Caenorhabditis elegans: one gene and its partners. The protein of the gene in region 1 interacts with the protein of each later gene in a pairwise test. Each region holds a gene or a part of one and is shown in the gene's direction. Other genes may lie near its edges.

What was found.
Region 2: the proteins of php-3 (region 1) and nhr-47 interact in a two-hybrid assay, tested with the Caenorhabditis elegans proteins (one large-scale study listed by BioGRID).
Region 3: the proteins of php-3 (region 1) and gipc-1 interact in a two-hybrid assay, tested with the Caenorhabditis elegans proteins (one large-scale study listed by BioGRID).
Region 4: the proteins of php-3 (region 1) and Y22D7AL.16 interact in a two-hybrid assay, tested with the Caenorhabditis elegans proteins (one large-scale study listed by BioGRID).

Annotation. Positions count from the first base shown.
Region 1 is NC_003281.10:12,073,674-12,079,272, reverse strand, and holds php-3 (Homeobox protein php-3), read left to right. Parts: upstream 1-1,716; 5' UTR 1,717-1,770; coding exon 1,771-2,114; intron 2,115-3,339; coding exon 3,340-3,551; intron 3,552-3,603; coding exon 3,604-3,791; intron 3,792-4,583; coding exon 4,584-4,667; 3' UTR 4,668-5,055; downstream 5,056-5,599. Other genes in the region: Homeobox protein nob-1, read left to right, coding at 1-17, 1,072-1,170. UniProt on the Caenorhabditis elegans protein: Probable transcription factor, involved in posterior embryonic patterning, morphogenetic movements of the posterior hypodermis, and cell fate specification. May regulate expression of transcription factor dmd-3.
Region 2 is NC_003283.11:5,503,286-5,510,494, forward strand, and holds nhr-47 (Nuclear hormone receptor family member nhr-47), read left to right. Parts: upstream 1-1,967; 5' UTR 1,968-2,167; coding exon 2,168-2,189; intron 2,190-2,232; coding exon 2,233-2,330; intron 2,331-2,473; coding exon 2,474-2,591; intron 2,592-3,330; coding exon 3,331-3,509; intron 3,510-3,558; coding exon 3,559-3,708; intron 3,709-4,403; coding exon 4,404-4,532; intron 4,533-4,582; coding exon 4,583-4,890; intron 4,891-4,934; coding exon 4,935-5,118; intron 5,119-5,166; coding exon 5,167-5,255; intron 5,256-6,034; coding exon 6,035-6,320; intron 6,321-6,373; coding exon 6,374-6,550; 3' UTR 6,551-6,671; downstream 6,672-7,209. Other genes in the region: dnj-19 (DNaJ domain (prokaryotic heat shock protein)), read right to left, coding at 1-141, 324-561, 610-701, 760-1,560; hpo-15 (Amine oxidase domain-containing protein), read right to left, coding at 6,750-6,924, 6,974-7,209. UniProt on the Caenorhabditis elegans protein: Orphan nuclear receptor.
Region 3 is NC_003281.10:4,869,067-4,872,786, forward strand, and holds gipc-1 (PDZ domain-containing protein), read left to right. Parts: upstream 1-1,711; 5' UTR 1,712-1,773; coding exon 1,774-1,808; intron 1,809-1,862; coding exon 1,863-2,160; intron 2,161-2,207; coding exon 2,208-2,948; 3' UTR 2,949-3,195; downstream 3,196-3,720. Other genes in the region: C35D10.3 (uncharacterized protein), read left to right, coding at 211-346, 540-832, 877-1,030; C35D10.12 (Methyltransferase type 11 domain-containing protein), read right to left, coding at 3,501-3,656.
Region 4 is NC_003281.10:1,661,603-1,666,778, reverse strand, and holds Y22D7AL.16 (C2H2-type domain-containing protein), read left to right. Parts: upstream 1-1,562; 5' UTR 1,563-1,626; coding exon 1,627-1,676; intron 1,677-2,055; coding exon 2,056-2,085; intron 2,086-2,140; coding exon 2,141-2,197; intron 2,198-2,793; coding exon 2,794-2,941; intron 2,942-3,803; coding exon 3,804-3,956; intron 3,957-4,209; coding exon 4,210-4,328; intron 4,329-4,404; coding exon 4,405-4,567; 3' UTR 4,568-4,675; downstream 4,676-5,176. Other genes in the region: glb-30 (Globin domain-containing protein), read left to right, coding at 585-866; Y22D7AR.3 (Ovule protein), read left to right, coding at 986-1,058, 1,162-1,286.

The DNA of each region.
Region 1 (5,599 bases):
TCAAGGTCTGGTTCCAGGTATGTTATAGGCAGTATTCAGCGGAAAGTCTAGAGATCATAAATGTGAATTTTTATCTAATGTCCTAATGAAAAAAATTCCAGAAATTTTGGTAAATTCCCAAATTTCCTCATTTTTAAAAATTAATTTTGAGCTTCTCTGGATTTTCAAAAAACGAACATCTGAAAAATACTAAATTTCAATATTTTGAACATTTACAAGGTTTGGGCACTAATAATTGAAAAAATACAATATTTAGCGCCAGCCAAAACGAACTCGAAAAAATTGAAAAATTTTTTAAAATTTCCAGAAAAGTTTTGGCAAAATGCCAAATATTTAAACCTGTTCCGACCTCTAGAATGTTTTATAGGAATTTTTTTGGCAGACTTCCAAAATTATGACTTTCAAAAACTGAGTAATTGTCACTTTTCAAACTTGTCAAACTTGTCAAAATTTTCAAAATTTTTTTGGAAAAGTTTTGCTATCATTTTGGCACCACTGGAGTAGTTTTTAACAATTTCCTCACTGGCGCTAATCCATCAATAACCATACTTTAAAAGTTAAAAATTACTTTTCAGCACGTGGTGTCAGAGTATCCCATTTCGGATTGATCTACGTTGATCTACAAAAAATGCGGGATAAGAGGCGCAGAGTTCACAACTGATTTCACATGGTTAAGAACGTGCTGACGTCACCTTTTTTTAGGAAGAAATTCCCGCATTTTTGTAGATCACACCGTAATGGGACAGCCTGGCACCACTTTTTGTAGCCACACTTTTTTGAACTAAAGTAACATTCGTAATTAATTATCAGAGTGCAAATAAATAAGTTGGACATTTGTGAATTCACGTAAAAATGGAAATGTGCAAAAAGGAGGCAAAAGGTGAGCAGGTTTCAGGCAGGCATCAGGCCTTGAAACCGCATCTGCCTACCATGAGAAATAATTGAAAACTTTAGAAACCTGAAACCGCGCCTGAACATTGTCAAAAACCGTAAATATGTTGTTTTGTCTAAACTCCAACCATTTTAACATTGCATGAATTGTTTTGCTTTCTCTTAACTTCACTGTTTCAGAATCGACGAATGAAGGACAAGAAACTGCGTCAACGACATTCCGGGCCATTCCCCCACGGTGCTCCAGTCACTCCGTGCATCGAGCGATTGATCAACTGATTTTCTCTATTTACACAAAGTGTTCTAACTAATGATTTTTTTCTGATTCTTATTCATTATTCAATTTGCTCTCTTCTCTCTCAATTTCATAATTTTTGTCCCAAATCTCGTTTGCACAGGGTTGTGTTTTTAGCCCATTCTTCGTTCTCTCCAACCGGTACCTAGACACCGTTCACTATATTTTTTCCCTTATTGTTTGTCGTCCTCTTTGACTCTTTTTTCGATTCAAGTTCAACTTTCTTTTTCCTTTTTCATGATTTAATAACTCTTTTTTTTCAATTGGCAAGGCACCCATAAAGTTGTTTCGTTTTTCTCTGTACGTGTATGTCTGTCAGTGTATCCTGTACTTCCTGTACTACTTGCTCCTCCGTCGAGCCGATGTTCGTTCTCTACCCCCCAGCAATGCCACAGAGAAAAGCACCACTTTTGGGTCTTTGCCAAACCTGTTTTTGTTTTCCGCTAACAACCTCGTTTTACCCCCGACCTTACCACTTTTCTTTAGTATCTCTCCCCGCTGAAACCCCAAAAATAGTGCTTTTCTTGCAGGCTTGCTCACGGTAGACAACGCCCGAACATCAGCGAGCTCCCGTCATCATCCTAATGATTTCGGTGATGCAACAGATGATGAACAATTCTAATATGCCACCCCCATTTGTGAAGAGCTCTGATTCTCATGAAACTCATGATGAATCACCGACGTCTCCGTTCATTAAACGTTCGGATTCTCCTGCAACAACGTCTTCGGCGGCAGCAGCAGCAATGCAACACAACTTTTGGTCGACAAGAGCTGCACAACTGCAGCAATCTGTATCTGGATCATCTGGTGTTTCTAGTGGTTCCAGCAGTTCTGCATCGAACAATTTATCAAGGACACAAGCGGACAATCATTCGGAACGAGGATCCGACACTGCTTCCAGTCCTCAGGTTGCACCACTCCCAACGAGGTTTGTTAAGTATTTTAAATATCGCGGTCAAGTGGAAACTTTTTAATTTTAACTAGAATACAAATTTGACAATTACCACAACTTCGGCAATAGATAGCCAAATTTTTGCCCATTTCCATAAGCATGAAGTTCCTAAACGCCTAATTTTCTTTCGGCAACTTCAGCGGCCGGCCCCGAAAAATTTCGAATTATAAATAGCCTTGATAATCAGGGGTGGGCGGCAAACGATTTTTTACGGCAAATCGGCAAATTGCCGGAATCAAAAATTTCCGGCAAATCGGCAAATTGCCGGAATTGAAAACTTCAGGCAAATAGGCAAACCGGCAAATTGTGGTTTTGCAATTTTTTTTTCGAAAATTCAGAGTTTCAATTTTAATGGGCAAAATTTTACGCATTCTATGAATGCTCCTACATTTATTTTGAAAATCAAAAAAGCCGGCCACTCGGCAAATTGGCAAATTGTCAGAATCAAAAAATTCCGGCAAATTGGCGAAATTGTAACTTTCGGCCTATCGGCAAACCGGCAAATTGTGGTTTTGCACATTTTTTTTGGAAATTTCAAAAGTTCAATTTTAATGGGCAAAATTTTACGCATTCTATGAATGCTCCTACATTTAATTTGAAAATCGAAAAAGCCGGCCACTCGGCAAATTGGCAAACCGGCAATTTGCCAATTTGCCGATTGCACAAAAATTGCCGAAATTTTTTCGAAAAATTGGAAGCTCGGCAACTTTTAGGCTGCCAGTTGTCGATAGTTGCCGATAGTTTTCAGAAGTTATTGAACTTTCTGAAAATTTGTTAAACAGTGTCAACATTTGTCGAAAGTGGTCGATAGCTGCGGATAGTTTTCAAAAAATGCCAAAAATTGCCAAAAATTGCCGATAGTTACCGAAAATTATTGATTTGTTTTGAAAAGTAGCCAAAATTTGCCGAAAGTTGTTTTTTTTTAATTTTAAGATATACAAAAAATACCCCGACATTATAAATTTCATATTCTTAATTCAATAAGTACACGTAGTGCCAGACTGTCCCATTACGGTTTGATCTAGAAAAAATGCGTGATTTTTTTTGCCCAAAAAATGTGACGTCAGCACGTTCTTAACCATGCAAAATCAGTTGAGAACTCTGCCGCATTTTTTGTAGATCTACGTAGATCAAGCCGAAATGAGACACTGTGACACCAAGTATGTGTTCTCAACACAAAAACCAATAAAATCAATTTCAGCAGTGGTATGTCAATGCCAGCAGCGGCTGCAGCCGGAATGTACCCATTCAATGCTGGTCGATTTCCAACAGAGTTTAATATGATGGTTAATCAATCAATGTACAATGATTTCTATTCAAATAGTCTTGCTGCATCTTCTTGGCCATACTCTTATCCACAACAATATCCGTTTGCAAACTACTCAATGCCAAGTTTAGATGGAAATTTGAATGGTTTGTTAAAGTTTTTAAGCTTTTGAAGTTTTTTTGAAAATTTTTATTTCAGACGGTGGTCAACTAGAATGGACGTCCTCTTCACACGCAATGCGTAAAAAGAGGAAGCCGTATACGAAAGCGCAGACATTGGAGTTGGAAAAAGAGTTTTTGTACAATACCTACGTCAGTAAGCAGAAGCGGTGGGAACTTGCAAAGTACTTGCATTTGACTGAGCGACAAGTCAAAATTTGGTTCCAAGTGAGTATTTTTGGCTTCCATGGTAGGCAGGCGCGGCTTCGGGGCCTGCCTGAAACCTGACCGCCTCTTTTTTGCATTTTGACGTGAATTTTCAAATTTCAAATGTGATGAAAATAAAATTAATAGATGAAAAAGCGCAGATTGAGGCGATAGGCAGGCGAAGGTCGCCTTGAGGCCAGGCAGGCAGGCAGGCTACACGGATGCCCTACTTATTATTAAGATGTTTCATTCCAAATGGACAATTTGATTCAATAATCGTATAACTGCGTGTATCAGAAATTCTGCATCTATTGATTACTAAGAAAACACTAGATTCCGAGGATGCGTTTTGCGCAAAATATCTCGTAGCGAAAACTACAGTAATACGGGCTCGAGTTTTAAAATGGATTATTAATTTATCGATAGAATATTATTATTAAACAAAAGAAACAAATTAATATAGCTCACGTGGTGCCAGGCTGACCCATGACGGTTTGATCTACAAAAAATGCGGGAATTTTTTGCCCTAAAAATGTGACGTTTGAACGTTCTTAACCATGTAAAATCAGTTGAGAACTCTGCCGCATTTTTTGTAGATCAACGTAGATCAATCCGAAATGGGACACTCTGACTCCACGTGATAGCTGTCACAATTCAAAAAAAAAGTTAGTTTCGAAAATTGAGCTCGTAAGTCGACACTACAGTAGTCATTTAAAGAGTAGTTTTCGCTATGAGATATTTTGCGCGTCAAATATGTTGTGCAATACGCATTTTCAGAATTTTGACTTCCAGTAATATTTATATTATTTTCAGAACCGACGAATGAAAGATAAGAAGCAAAAGCAACGAACATCTGGAGATCCAACTGGAATGCTGATGCCACCTGGATTGGATTAACTCGAAATACTTTATTGTAATTGCCCCACCTCACGCGGTGCCTTTCTGTCCCATTACGGTTTGATCTACAAAAAATGCGGGAATTTTTCGCCCAAAAAATGTGACGTCAGCACGTTCTTAACCATACGAAATCAGTTGAGAATTCTGCCGCATTTTTTGTAGATCTAAGTAGATCAAACCGACATGTGACACTCTGACACCACGTGCCACCTGGGTCTAAATTTGCCAAAAACCATACCAACTTGAAATGTTTCCTGAAAAGTTTTCTGTTTCCTTTTAGGTGAATATTGAACTTCTTTTTTTTTCTTCCATCTCTCTCTCTCAACCTTAGCTCAAATGTTCTACTTCATTATATCACCACCATTGATCCGCATTTAATAAATTCAATTTACCGGTACAAACTACTTTACTCTCCTCAATATATTCCCTCAATAATCTTTTTTTTAATTTTAACTTTTTTTTGTATCGGATTTTCTGAAAAAACAAATTTTTTAAACAGTTTTTTTGAATCTTTCAAAAGTTAGATTGTGTTTCGCCATTTACACGGATTTCTGGCTTCCCTCATAAATTGAAATGGAAGAGTTTGCCGAACTAGGCCATTATGGCTCGGCCACATCTGGGGTAGATTTACGGTGCGTTGCGTGTCGCGTCGCGGCTCGATTGTAAAACTAAATGTAATTGTCCGTGTGGAGTACACGACACTTTTCCACGCGTTGTCCGACAGGCGATTGTCAATGGAGCGCGAAAAATTCAATGAGGAAGGCCAGAACCCCGTGGTGGACCTAAATTTTCACAAATTTTGAACAAAATGGGCCTAAATATTCACAAATTTTGAGCAAAATGGGCCTAAATTTTCACAAATTTTGAGCAAAATGGGCCTGAATTTTCACAAATTTTGAACAAAATGGGCCTTAATATTCACAAATTTTGGG
Region 2 (7,209 bases), on another chromosome or scaffold:
TTCTTCGTCCGAATCTTCATTGTAAGCGTCTCCGCCACGTCCTCGGCTGTACTTCTTCTCGTCATATTCCATAAGAGAAACTTCTGCGGCAGCTGGGGTGACATTGACAACTTTTGAGGTAGGGAAGCAGCTTTTCAGAACCTGGAATAAAGAAAATTTTAGATAAATAAAACGTAACATACAAATCCTATTCTAATCAATTTATAAACATAAATTTTTGTTGCTTTTTTAAAACGGAAATAAAGTCAGTAAATGAAACAAAACCTTAAAAAACAGTTCGAACAATACATTAAGAACAATAAATCTTTAATAAAAATACTTACGGCATAAGCTTTTTCATCATCGAGGAAATGCTCCTTTGGAAATTCGACTTCAAATTCAACGAACAAGTTTCCTTTGAGTTCTGGGTATTTCTTATTTGGCATTCCTTTTCCAAGAACTCCTCTGATGACTCCTGGCTTGATAACATCTCCTTGTTTACTAGAAAGAACCAAAGGATGGCCATCAAGATGTTTGATAAGGAAATTATAGCCGCAAAGTGCCTCATTCAGTGATAGTTTCCTGAAAACAGTAAAACTTAATTTTTAAAAATCGATAAAAAGTTATTACTTGGTCATGTGAAGATCATCTCCATCTCTCTTGAAAATATCATGATCTTTCTGTTGAATAACAATGACAACATCTCCTGGCTCACCATCTGGCTAAAAGATATTTTTATTTAGAAATTTTTTTAAATCAATTATCTTCACATGCACTTACGTCAGATTGGTCTCCATCTCCTTTGAATGTAATTTTATCGTTATGTTTCATGCCAGGAAGAACGTGAACCTCCAATATTTTCGAAACGTTTTCGTACTTTTCTCCATGGCATCCTTTGCACTTATCACCTGCTGGAACTTTGCCTCCAGAACCCTTACAAGCATCACAGTGAACCTGCATTTGTTGGAGCATTCCGGGGCCAATTTGCTGAACGATCGTCTTCACTCCACGACCACGGCATGCATCACACTTATATTTTTCTCCCTTCTTTCCACCTGACCCTTCGCAAGTTTTACAGAGTGCCTTTTTGGAAAGCTTCAGCTTTGATGTTTTTCCGACGTAAAGCTCTTCGAGTGTAACATTGAGGGGATGAACAGTATCTTGGAATTTCCGCCGACGTGGGCCACCTCGTCCCATTCCACCCATTCCACCGAACAAGCCACCAAATGGATGACCACCCATATCATCATCGTCGTCATCGTCATCACCGCCAGCACCGCCGAAGAAGTGAGAGAACAGACCTCCAGGAAAGCCTCCTCCACCACCACCAGCTCCTCCTCCTTGAACTCCTTCCAAACCTCTGGCGTCATACAAGCGTCGTTTTTCAGGGCTCGAAAGAACTTCATAGGCAAAACTGATCTCTTTGAATTTATCTCCATGGTCCGGGTTTTTATCTGGATGGTATTCTTTAGCAAGTTTGAAGTAAGATTTCTTAATGTCGGCCTGCGAAGCGTCTGGTCTCACATTGAGTGTTGTGTATAAAGTGGTGTCCACGGGACCACTACTTCCACCTCCAAACATATTACCTGAAAAAAAATGAATATTAAAATGCGGACATGACAGTGAAAAATTGAGAGAAACGGACGGAGAATGCGCGAGATGTTTGAAAAATACAACTTTTAATAATTCAATAATGTAAATTATTGAATTATTTTTTAGCAATTTAAACAAAATATTTAGAAATCAATTTTCTTACACAACGAACGACACCAACGAGCAAGTGAAAACAAAAACTGAATTTTGTGAACAAGCATCGAACGTTAATTAATGAGAACTGAATAAAAAACGCGGAAAATCGAGAAATTGAGCAAACGCGCGTCAAATCGATAAAAAACCACCGAATTTGGGACTTTGTACTGCAGAGAAAATTCTCGATAAAACCAACGCTGGTCGCGAAACGCGCCAGCATCCAATAACGCGTCAGCCGCAACTTCGCTTGCCCCATTCTCGTGAGCGCACGGCAGAGAGACTGAAGACGTGACAACACCAATACTCCAATAATCTTAGCACGCACACAACTACAATCTATATAAATACTGCATTCTAACTAATAAAAAAGCCAATGCTACTATTACAAGCTATATTTAAAATATTCATAAATTCTAAATAATCCATAAACTTTAAAATTATGAGTGAAAAGTTGCCACCAGGTTGGGGTTCTGTTTTTGGACATTTTTCACATAATATTATCAGGTACACTATGCGCAGTCTGTGACGACATTGCAACTGGCAAACATTACAGCGTTGCTTCATGCAATGGATGCAAAACTTTTTTTCGTCGGGCTCTTGTGGTAAATTTAAATAAGAATAGACCTAGTTGAAATGAATCTGAAAATATTGATTTTTCTCTCAATTAAAATGTTTCAAATTGATATCTAATCACAAAATGTTGTAAGATCAATTTAACAAGCATCAAACATCACCCTTTTTTTAGAATAACCGAGAATTCGTGTGTCAAGGGAATAAAGATTGTCCAGTTAACAAAGGAGTTCGATGCGCGTGTCGTTATTGTCGACTTCAAAAATGTTTGGCCGTTGGAATGGATAAGAATTGTAAGTTTTTGGTATACTTTGAGATTATGGAAGGATCCTAGGGTACATGGTACATCGATTAGTAAAGCCGTAGAAGCAACCCGAAATAAATAAAAAATCACCTGCCATTTTCCACGGCCGAATATGTATAAATAAATATTAAATTGAAAAAATTAGAAAACACTTTTCTGTTGAAATATATATTTTTCTTACAATTAGATCAATTATAGAATAAAAAAGTATTATTCAGACGCGAAATTTGGCGAATTTTCCCTCTCTGCCGGTCTCGGCACGATAAATGTTTGATAAATATAAAAATATATGCGCCTTTAAAGAGTACTGTAGCTTTAAACTTTGCTGATGAATTTTTATCAATTTTTCTCCGATTTTCTATGAAAAATATAATTTTGCAATTGGTAAAAATATTAAAAACACATAAATTTGTGAGAAAAACTATTCAAAATCAATGAAAATTCCACAATAGCGAGTTCAAACTACAGTACTCTTCAAAGGCGCACACCTTTTCGCATTGATCAAAAAACTGTCGCGTCGAGACCAGGGTCACCGTATTTTTGAGTTTAAATAAGGAGAACAATTTTTTAAGAGCCGTTAATTAAGAGGCTCTAGATAAAATTACAAATTTTGAAAACCAATTTTGAAATTTTTCCAGTTTCTCATCAATCTAGAAGTTACAAAATTTCATAGAACAATATACAATTATATTTCAATTTAATTTTTTTTAAAATCTGAATCTATTCAGCAATTCAAAACGACCGTGATAGAATTGGATACACAAAACGAAAAAGAAGACATGATGACAATGATATGGAAGGAGGTGTTCATCATTCAGAACATATCAGAGATGGATCTTCAGGAAGTCCACAAATGAATGATGAGAGCCCCGAGAGTATGGATATGAAGGATATTAAAATTGATTTGGTAACTTTTAAATAGAAATTTCCAAAAACAATGCAATGCATAATTTCAGAATTGTCTGGATCCAATTGCTGATAGGCTTACAACGTTGGAAAATAACTTCACACTACTTTTGAGTAGATGCGCCGATTTGCATTCCTATGCAACGTTAGAAGATGCTCTCAATGCTCCAAGTCGATTTATGCAACCTATTTCTTGTGAAGTGAGTTGAAGAAATGATTTATAAAGTAGCGTCAATAGATGTTTGGTATTGTTTATGTGCATTAAAATAGTTTCTTTTAATTTTGAAAGTCGACCAAAAAATTTCAAATGTTTCTGAAAATTTTGGCATTTTACCAAAACTTGACTGAAAATTTCAAAAAATCCAGAAAATTTGGTCATATTGGTCTATTATAAATGAATTAAATTCAGAACCCCAATGGTCATATACTGTTAAAAATTTGCATAAGTATTTAAATTTTTGTAATATGAAAAATGTATAAAATCACGTCTAACAGCTTGAGCTAAAAATTTTAAAATTTTCATGAAATCTACTATTATAAAAATAAGACTGAACGAATGATTGGGATTTTTTCAAAATTGGAAAATTCACTTTTTTTGGTACAAAAATACGCCGAAGTTTATTAAAATTTACTTTTTAATTTTAGTTCCAAATTCGATTTATTTTAAAACTTTACAAAAAATTATTTTCCCAATTTTTTGGAATTCGTCAATCAAAAAAATTCCAATTTTATGTTTAAAATATATTTAAAATATTCATCTTCCAACATTGTAGATGCTCAAATATGCGACAGTGCATTAGATTTCTTGAAAAGTGCCGCAAACTTAGTTTTCACCGCTTTCTGACTTTTTTTAGATCTATTTCCAAATTTCCACAATACTTACAACTTATTTCAGTGGTCAGACAATGTAGTTCTCACAAATCGAGATGATAAATTGCCATTCTGGAGGCAACGTTTGATAGCTCTATACATAGATTGGGCGAAGACATTTTCCACTTTTAGATCCCTACCGTACGCTGACAAAGTAAGTATCTAAACATTCTCCTCTACCTCTTCCATCATCCACTTTTTCAGGTTGCCATGGTAACTAATCATGCATCTTCTTTCATGATCATGTGTGAAGCTTTCCGCACTCCAGAGCACATGAAATCGGATGTTGTTCGTAAGAGACCGGATCTTCCAAATATCGTGACATCAAACTCCGGATCCGGATGTAGCAGGGTTTCATCGGTGGCTGGAAGCTTAGTGAGCAATGGGGAAGATGTACACGATGATTTGACAAACTTGCTTCATGCGGCATGTATCCAGCAGTCTATCAACAAAGGGATCATGTTTGGAGAGAATTCTTCTGATGATAAAATACTTTTGAATCTTCCAATTCGGTATAGATATTCAAACCCATAAGTCTCAATTTATATTTTTTCAGAGAAATAAAGAAAGAACCACTAGAAGTTCCATCGACAGAAGGAATGATTCAACTTCCAACTGAATATGGCAACCTTCCAGCAGACTATGCTTCGTGGATCCCTCAAGATTACGGTCATCCAACAGCTGGACACGAAGGAAAATCAGATATGCACAATTTCTTTGAAGCTCGAGACTTTTGTGTGGTAAAATTTTTTTTTTTCAAGTACATAAAGTTAATTTTTCTTAAACAGGGTCGTCCATCCTCCTGCAACTTGAATGAACGATCTATGAAAACTGTTTCAATGTTGGAATCGAGAAACTTTCAGTCTCCAAGTGCAAAGTGGGTTCTTTATTTTTTTGAAAAACAATCTAGTTTGAAATTTATAAAATAATGAAACACAAAACCGTAATCTATAGAGCCATTTTTGCAAAAGTCAACCTAAAATTGTGTCTATGATTTTTACATTTAAATTATGTTTCAAATATTCACCTTAGAACATTCTAACTTACCAAAAGCTTAGCTGTCACTTTTGAAAGCTTTCAAAATTTTTAAAGTGTTTTATTGTGATATTCAGTCATGATAAATGTGTATTTAGACTATATTCTTATAGTTGATGTATCTGACGTTACCAAGGAATTATGAGAAAAATCGGTGGCAGGCTTAATGTGCCTAGTAGACGCCTAGGCATTTTGTTAATTTTGGAAGGTATGGTCAGTGGGGACCTAGTCTAATTACACTTATTATATATAGTCCAACATGACAAAATACCTTAATTAAACAATTTAAAAACGATCTTAGATTTTTCTCAATTTTAAGTTTTGGGTTTATGTTTTGTTCAACTTTTGGCAAATTGCCAAATTTCAACAATGTACAGCTTAGAGCTTTTGTGCAATTTCGAGAATTGATGCAAGTTCGGACCTCCAGAGTGTTATGTACAATCAATACAAAATTAAAGTATAAAACTCGAAGAAAAAAATTATTTTTGGTCGACTTCCAAAATTACAACACTTTGACTGTAAATTAAAATTTTTCAGAGGTAAGAGATGAAAATGTAGTTTCAAACTATTGCCCTACTGACGATATTCCATGTTTAACTTCAATTAAATTTTGATTTTCAGCAATTCGAGTCTTTCTGGAATAACACCAGTCCTCACAATGATGATCGATCTTGTAATGAAACCATTCCGCCAGTTGAACTTCTCCACGACAGAATTCGCTCTACTTCAAGCAATCATGTTCTTCGATCCAGACACCGAAGGACTCGATTCGGCATCACAAAGAAATGTTGTAGCAGAACAGAAGAAACTACTTGCAGTGCTCTTTCGTCATTTGCAAAAGGCTTATAATCCGCAAGCGGCAAGCGAGAGATACGCTTCAATTATTCTTCGAATGCCATCGATTCGGGTACGCGTTGAACTTTCGATCTGTCTGATTAAAAAATTCTATAAATATTTCAGAGAGCCGCTGCAAAAAAGAATGAATCATTGCAAGTGCTGGATATGCTTCAAATGCATGAAATTAATTCTCTAGTGAAGGAAACATCGCTCGGTCCGAGACCTTCAAATGTTCAACAACGAATGGGAATTGGTGGTGGTGCAGGAGGATGTCTCACGTTTCCATCTCAAGAGGATTGAGGATTGAGGATTAACTTCAAATCATTGAATCTACATATTTTTTGATCTCATTAATATCATACTCAGGATTCCATCAGTATAAATTGCCTAGATAAAACCAAATAAAGAATGTTTATTGATACTCAACGTTATTAGAAAATATCGAAAATTTAATAAAAAAACTGAGTTAAATCCTCAAGGTATCTGATTAATCTTATTTTTAAATAGAAGTTATTGGTTGTGAAATGATTGGGATGTTTCTCTGATCATTGATCAATGTTTCATCCACTACTTCCAATTTTGTGGTCTGATTCCATCTTCCAAACCAGTCATTGACAGCTCGATCAGCTTCTCTGCGACCACTCAAATAACCTCCGATGGTTGTTTGGAATAGTCTGAAATTGATTGTTTAGACTTTTTTCTCTTATCTCTGAAATAGTATACCTGTGATGAGTTGCTTCACCGGCAAACAGAACCTTTGGTCTTCCTTCCAGTTTCACTGGAATCGCAAGTTGAGAGTGAGAAATATGGGAGAGCGCTTGCACTTGAGTCATGTAGGAATAGGATCCTAGAAGCAACTCGTTCTTGGTCAGCTGAGTTCTGATAATCTTGCTAGGCTCGGGAATACTTTTGTCGTTGTACATGTCTCGCATCAGTTTTGTAATTCTTTGCTTCAACTC
Region 3 (3,720 bases), 7.2 Mb from region 1:
ATGCCTGCTTGATTTCCTACAAGAAAACCTAGATCTATTGTGTACCAACCCGCAAAAGCTCTCTTTTGTAGTAGGCGAAAGGTAGGCATGTGTGCCTTGAGACAAAGCTGTTGCTTTCTTCTCAGGATTTGTTCCATATTCTTAAGAATTAGAAGCTTTTGTGAGAAAATTTAAAGAGTGTAAACTTCTATCAAACTTCTCTTTTTTCAGTTACGCAATATGCAGCCCAAACTTATGGATGATTGTTGCTTGTACATGCATGACACTCCTTACAATGCTTATGACGTTATATATGAATTGCGGGTTTCGAAGGAATGTACGATGGCTGAAGTTCACTGAGTGGAAGGTTTGTGTTCATTAGATCAGATTGTTAGTGCAGGTTCAACGTATCTTCCTTTTCGGGCCCTGCCTAAATATTTCATCCGACCGAGGCGTAATGATCATTGATGATCACGTAATCGCCATCCTCTTGCAATAGGCGCCTTCCGGTCGAGAGGGGTGAGCGTGAATTGTGAAGCTCACTTCTATTCATATTTCAGCTCCAGCAACTCGCCGAACGTCTCCGCATTCAAGAGCCAAATGTAGGTCTTCTTATGCAAGTAACCAGAAAAGTGAATGATAAGAAGAACAGTGATAAGAAAGAATTCGACTTTTTCAACAATCGAGATCAAAATAACAATATCGCAGGAGCATTGAATGAAGTGGCAAGTAAGACAAGTAATGGCTCAATGGGATCAACGGATGTAGTTGCTGCTCAAATCAGAAAGGCGAGAGATGAAGACGTAGAGAAAGTGTTGCGGGAGAGTAATATGGATATTCTTACTCCTGATGTGTATGTTTTAAGTTTGAATTTTCTGAAAATGATTATATTTTCAGCCAACCCACTCAACCAAGCACTGGAGGATCTCAGAAAATTCTGAAAAAGTGGACAGGAGCAACAATAGATCTCTTCTCGAAAGATGAGGATGAGAATGAAGGGAAAGGAAAAAAGGAAAGAAAAAATAAAATTGATCGAACTCAAGAGGATTGATTTTTAATAAAGATTTTTCATTAAAAAATTCCCATTGGGTTTCAATATAAGAATTTCCTGCACCATAGTTATGGCCCAGGAGCCAGCCAGAAGTATAGTCACAAAGCGTATTATCAGGTCTATCAGTATTCATAGAGAGTATTCATACTTCTGGTTTTTTTTGTCGCTACTTGGGCTGATATTTCAGTTTCACAAGATACATTCCCAACCATCACTATTCAAAAGTCGACGGGGCTCCTGCTCGGAAAAGTTTGACAAAAGAAACCCAGGATAAAAAGAACTGCTTCAAATAAATGATTTCAAATAGTTAAAATCACAAAAAACTAGATATCAATTTTAAATCGCTCGGCTCCTCCGATGAGCACATAATCCTTTTTGAGCTCATGAAGAGTCCGCAGCCAATATTTTTAGGGCAAGTCTTACGGGTACGGTAGTTGAACAATTAACTCGTGTTAAGATCTGGAAATTGCCTCGATATTGAGCAAAAATCGAGAGAATTGTTTGCGATTTACTTTAGTTATACGTGTTACAGTTTTAAAACAAAATGAAGAAAAACACGAAAATTAATAAAATTCGAAAGTTATATTTTTAATGAACTTCCTCAGCGTGGCACTCTAATTTGGTTGGCATCTAAGCTCCGCCCACATCAATGCCTATAAAAGATCAGTTTCTTGATAAAATGATTCATTCATCGATTTAACACCAACTCACTTCAACTAGTACAACTACTAACATTCTCCACAATGCAAGGACAAGGATCACCATTCTGCCGTTCTAGGTATGTATTACATGAGCCCGAGTCTTATGTCTCAAGTTACCATGAATATTTTAGAACCCGCTCGAGATCTCGTGGAGCTTTCAATCGTAGCTCCAACCACGGTTCAGTGCTTCCAATTCAGCCTGCCGTATTGGATTCAATTGCCGAGGAATCATCGTCTACTATCATGACAGTAGTCAATCCTTTGATGGTGGCAGCAAGACAGCTCAAATTTGCTTGCCAGATGGCTCATGGAAGTCCAGTTGGAATCATCGACAAATGGAACAATATGGAGGAATTGTATCAATCAATTGCCGATTGCTTTACAATTTCAAAAGATGATATCATTTTCCTGACAGTCAATGATTTTAAGGTTAGTTTTGACATAAATAAGTCAAATTCTTATTCTAAATATTTCAGCCAGACATGAAGAACATGTTCACTGGAACACTGAACTTCAAGGATATGCTCTTCGCCCACATTCGCGGACAAGCAACCGAGCTCCGAGTCGTCAAAGATGCTAAAAACTTTGGAGTGACAATCACGGACAACGGACTCGGGAATGCATTTATCAAGGTCATAAGCCCAGATTCGGTGTTTGATCGTATGCGTCCAGCCACTCAAGTTGGTCAACTCATTGAGGCGGTCAATGGAGAATGTGTGCTCGGGAAAAGGCATTACCAAGTTGCCCGAATTTTGAAAAATGTTCGTCGCGGCGAGGAATGCGTGGTTCGATTGATTGCTCCAAAGACTGCTGATCCAGGAACCATGAAGACGACTGGAAAAACTGGCGGAGGTCTGGCAAAAGGAACCATTCGTTTCAAATCGGAAGGCGGATTTGCTGTTGAGGATGTTCAAGATCAGATGATCCAAGCTGAGATGTGCGGAAAGCTCAATGAGATATTCGACCAATACTTGGGAGTTCAAGATGATCAGCTGGCCATGAGAATCTGGGAAACTGCTTCAAACTGCGAGACGCTTTTGCAACTCAGTGAAGCCATCAAAGAGTCGGAGCTCTCAATGTTCGATTTCCCGGATGGAATGGTTTTCGATATGTGGGGAATCATCGGTGATTTGAAGCGGGAGCAACGTGAGAAGAAGCCATCCCCAGTCATGAAGAATGCGATTTCAAGACCATCGGCTATGAAACTCTTTGAGTAACTTTTACTGTGGAATAAATTATTTTAATCTCCGAACTGTCTTAAATTGGTTTAAAGTATATCCCACTAACTTTTCAAATTTATTCGATTCACAAGACTTGAAAAACACTCTTTCCGCTGCTTAGTTCGATTGTTTCATTCAGCACATCTTATTCTCCAACAGGCATCCGCATTTCATAAGCCTCTAGAAAATCATAGCATTCATCGATTCCCAGTTTAAATGCTGTTTAAATGAAGCTTCAAATTTATTTTATTTTTCTTTTGTCAAAATGTTTATTTTAAAACAGCGTTTTGTCAAAAGTATGTATTCAATTTTATGCTTTCCCATTGGTTTCTCATTGGAGCTCTCGAGCTCCAAATGTCCGTTACACCATGTCCACCTGCAACCTAGTTAGAAGCGAAAGATAAAATCTGCATAAACTTCAAACGTTTTGTATTAATTTGTAAGATTTTAACGCTTATTTACATAAATACAGTTTATTTTTTTCGAGATCATAAGATTTAGTTCTCAAACGAACTTTGGATATGTGCAATACGAGATGATTCCTAATGTTCATGGTCGAATGACATTTGCCGCCACTTTTTCAGCAATTACACACCAATTGCCATGTTCAAAAGTTGCTGAGACGACTTTTAGACTCTCCACGGAATCTACTAAATCGGCAAGTTCACCGTCTTTGAAAACATGATAGAAGCGGTAGAATGTGACCTGAAAATGGAAAATTATTAGCTGAAAATCTCTTAATTTAATTGTAAGTAAAATCGCAGCTTGG
Region 4 (5,176 bases), about 10 Mb from region 1:
GTTTAAGTGGGCGGAGCCAAAAATAATGGGCGGAGCTTAATATTAAAGTTCTCCGCGTGACAAAGTTAAATTTAATGATAATATTGAAGAAATGTAATGAAAAATTGTTTGAAAAATCATAATCTCCCAAATTTCGCAATTTTTTCCAAGAAGTGGGCGGAGCCTAAATCGTTTTTCGATCGGAACCTAGTCGTGTTTATACTTAAATAAAAGCTCTCAAAGTGGCTAAACTGAATTTCACTAAATCTAAATGAAAACAACAGTATTTTCTCGAAAAACTGAAGTTTCACAATATTTTTCAACAAGTGGACGGAGCCTAAATTGTTTTTGCACGGAACCTAGTCGTGTTTATACTTAATTTGAAGCTCTCAGTCTGACAAATCTATATTCTCATAAATAATTGTGAAATCTCGAAAATTGGCTGAGTAGCGACTCGAAGTATTTTTCAAAATTTAGATTTTTACAAATTTCTACATAAATCAGTCAAAAATCAATATTTTCAAACGATCTAAAAATCAGTCGATGGATAAATTTTCAGACTACTGCTGACTTAGTTTTCATATTGAAAAATCAATAAATTTCAGGCAATAAACGGCCAGCACTCGATATCCGGCGATGACTCGGGCCTAAGCTCGGGCTTAAGCGTCGAAACGAAACAGGACCTTACTCAGGTGAAAATTTCTGCATTTTCTGGCAGACAACATCGCACGGCTTCCACCCGTCACAGCTTGGCCTACATAACTGCCACACCGGCAGAGCCGATGACGTCATCGACCTGTAACTTTCTGAAAACGCTGGCCTCAATGTCGCCGAAATGTGTTAGACGACGATTTTCAGCATCTCCAAATGCTAGAATGCATGTTTAAAATGATATTTTTGTAGTTATTGTGATTTTTCAATATTTAACAATTTTTTAAATTTTTATAAAAAAATTGAAAAAAATAGATTTTTTTCAAAAATAATTTTTTTGCTTTTTTCAACGGGTATGGTCCCGAATTTCACAAATATTCCAATTTTTTGTTGGCTGGCTCAATTGCACGAAATGCTCGGCGGGATATGTAAGTTTTTATTTCTAAAATTTTTTTTTTAAATCAATATTTCTCAAAAAAAAATTCCAAAAAAAAATCGATAATTTTTTCTTCAAAAAAATCTAATTTTCAGGCTCTACGTCGCCGCGAATTATCGATTATTGTACCCGAATATTTCATTTGTCGCCGAAAATCCGACGTCGAACCATTCGAGGAATCTTCGCCGACTCCTTCGTAAAGTTATCGATTTTTTTTTGAATTTTTTGATTATTTTCGTATATTATATATATATTATCGATTTTTAAATTTTTACTATGATTTTTGTTTTTTGATTTTCAAATACATGAAAATCTCCTTCCCTAATTTTTTTTCCTTTTTTCCCACAAAAAGTTCACACCTCACTGGGCACGCCGAGAGCCCGACCAGCAGGTGGAAATCAGAAAAACTCTTATCAATTAGGGGGTGCGGCGAGGTTTCCGTGGTAACTGGTCGCCTTCCTCTCCCCGAAGGAAAAGCTCCAACTTCTTTTTATTTTTGTTGTCAGCTTTGTTGCTTTACGAATTCCCCTTTTTTCTCTTATTTCTGCCAAGGTGCCAAAATGAGCAGCAGCGAGGATAATCGCAGAACTAAGAAGGACTATAAGAAAAGGTAAGCAAGATTTGTCTGAAAATGTGCTTTTAGAGTTGATATCTTGAATTTTAAAGTGAAAAATTTGAATTCTCCGCTATGAAAAACCTGAATACCCCAGCGGGGGCTCGAACCCCTGACCTTTTCACCAAAACCAGCCCTGTTACCGACTGCGCCACCGGTACGCCGAGCCAGGCGCTGCTGCTGCGCGTAATGGGCGCCGTGGCGCAGTGGGTAAGAGGTTTGACCTCTGTGAAAAAGGTCGCGGGTTCGAGTCCCCGGCAGTGTATTTAGGTTTTTCATGGCGGAGAATTCGAATTTTTCACTATAAAACTTGAAAATATATCAAGTACGGGTGTTTTCTAGCAATCTTCTTTTTTTTTTGAATTCTAAATTTCAGGTCAAAACAAAACAGGGAAAGGTCTAGAAGGTATGTTAGTCACTTTTAAAATCAAAAAAAAAAATTAAAATTGACGCTTTTGCAGTCCAATTGCAAGAAACCGCAGCCGCTCAACAAGCCGTGGGACGTTTGAGGAGATTGAGTATATTGATTTTTGTAGTTGGAAAATATTTTGAAACTATCTATATATATGGGAAGAAGTATCTTATTTATCTATTGTGTTGTGTTTTTTTGGAAACATGGATTACATGGCAAATTGCTCATTTATTATTTTTATAGAGTTACTTGGCTTGGAATTTTAAATTTTGAGCATTTCGAGCCCAGCTATGGCTCAAAATTGAATTTTAGGACAATTTTTTCAGAAAAAAACCAAATGTTATGCCAAATTAAACAAAAAAAAGTTGTTACCACTAGTGGGACTCGAACCCTTGACCTATTTTCGAAGTCAAGGCTGTAACCAGCTGAGCCATTGGAACAATTTTTTATTTAAAATTTTTTGCTAAATCCGAAAATCTAGGTTATATTGCTCTCCGAGCATTATGAGCCAGGCTATGGCTCAATATATGATTTGTTGTGTTGATATCAATTTATTGTAACAAAAAAAAATTTTTATCACTACTGTATCACTATTTTCATCGATCTATCTATGTCCTTCCTATTTTTCGAAAAATTCAAAAAATGCAAACAAGTTTAGCCCAATTTTCTCCCGTTTTAATCCAAAATTGTCGAAAATTCCAGCTCCCCAGTCCGTGACCGTTCTCGGACACCGAAGGCTCCCCAATTCAACTGCCGTCAGTGCCGGAAAGCTTTCGACTCGATTCGGGAGCTCGCGGAGCACGAGATTAAAAATCATGAAGATCAATTTAATTGCTATCATTGTGACAAGGTAAATGGACTAGAAATATTGATTTTTTAAAAATAATATTGATTTTGGGAAGATATCGATTTTATGGAAATTAATGGTTTTTGAAAAATTATAGATTTTTCTAGAAATATTAATTTTTCTAGAAATATTAATTTTTCTAGAAATATTAATTTTTCTAGAAATATTAATTTTTCTAGAAATATTAATTTTTCTAGAAATATTAATTTTTCTAGAAATATTTATTTTTTTAAAATATTGATTTTCAGAAATTATCGATTTTATGGAAATTAATGGTTTTTGAAAAATATTGATTTTTGGAAGAATATTGACTTTTCTAGAAATATTGAATTTTTGAAAAAAGAATGATTTTCTGAAAAATATCGATTTTAGGTGTATTGATTTTTGGAAAAAGTATCGATATTTAGAAATTATTGATTTTTGGAAATTATTGATTTATGAAGAAATAATGATTTTTCTAGAAATATTAATTTCTGGAAAAAAACTATGATTTTTGGAATATATTGATTTATGGAAAATTTTCGGAAAAAACATTAATTTCTGGAGGAATATTGATTTTTCTAGAAATATTGATTATTGGATAAATAATGATTTTTGGAAATTATTGATTTTTGGAAATTATCGATTTGTTGGAAATTATTGATTTATGGAGAAATAATAATTTTTCTAGAAATATTAATTTCTGGAAAAAACTATGATTTTTTAGAAATTATTGATTTTTGGAGGAACATAGATTTTTTCTAGAAATATTGATTTTTCTAGATATATTGAAAATTATTGATTTTTGGAAAAATTATTGATTTTTGGAGGAATATTGATTTTTCTAGGAATATCGATTTTTGGGGAAAAAACTAACTTTTTTCAGAAATCCGAATCAATTGAGCGCCTGGCGGCCCATACCGCCCACCGACACGGCCCAAAGCCTGTAATCTGCGCGTATTGCCAGGAGCCATTTGGTAAAAGCTCTGAATTAATGTCAGATGATGATTGGGACGAGTTCAGGGATCATATTTTTAAGGTTTGAAGAATTTTTGGGTTTTAAAACGTATTTTTTGAGCAAAATCCAAAAAATTTAGTTTATTTTGCTTCCTGAGATTTTCGATTTTCGAGTTATGGCTCAAATTGGGATTTTAGAACAATTTTTCAAATAAAAAAAATTTAAAAAAAAAACAATTACCACTGGTGGGACTCGAACCCTTGACCAATTCTTTCGAAGCAAAACCTGTAACCAGCTGAGCCGTTGGAACCTTTTTCAAAATCTAATTTTCCAGGAGACAGTAAAAAAGCGGATGTATCGCCATGGAAGCCGTAATTCCAGTCAAAATGTCTCAGTTGGTGGTGCTCTCCGTGGAGTTGGATCCTGTCCTCATGGCCCGCCGGTCAAGTGCAAGTGAGCAATTTTTTCTGAATTTTGAGCACATTTCAGAAGCTCAAAACAACGGTTTTCACCAAAAAAAAGTTTCCAGAAACTTCCCCCAATGTCCTGGAGCCAAATGCATATATTCCCATAATATGTGCCGTTATGAGGACACTTGTAACAAATCCACATGTCCATTTGATCATTCAAACCGCCCGAGAACCTGCATGACCTGCGTCAACGATATGAAGTCCAGACGTCGAAATTATTGACTTTTCAGAAAAGTTAAAAATTATTTTTTTGCTTATTTAATATAGTTGGTTTCCTAAAAATTTAGAAAATTCTGTCTGGAAAAGTCTGAAATAAATATTTTTTTTCCCGGTAAAAATTAATGTGTGTAAGATATAGTTTAGGCATGAATCTGTAATTTGGTACAGTTTTAACAATTTTGGGTTTTTATACTCAAAAATGTGGTCAAAACTTTTAAGATTTTTAATTCGAAATGTAACAAACAATATTCGAGACTTTTCAGAGCCTACTTTTTAAAAAGTTTTTAGATAAATTTCACAAATTCGCTAATTCTGAAGAATTCCAAATATTATGAGATTTTTTTTGGCGGGAATTCAAATTTCTGAGAGAAAAATATGGCGGTAATCCAAATTTCTGTAAAAAATTTTGACGGGAATATAAATATTCTGAGAAAAATTTCGGCGGTAATTCAAATTTCTGAGGAAAGATTTGGCGGGAATTCAATTTTTTTAAATTTCGGCGGGAATTCAAAATTCTGTGAATATTTTTGGCGGGAATTCAAATTTCTTTTTAAAAATTTTGGCGGGAATTCAAAATTCTGTGAATATTTTTGGCGGGAATTCAAAATTCTG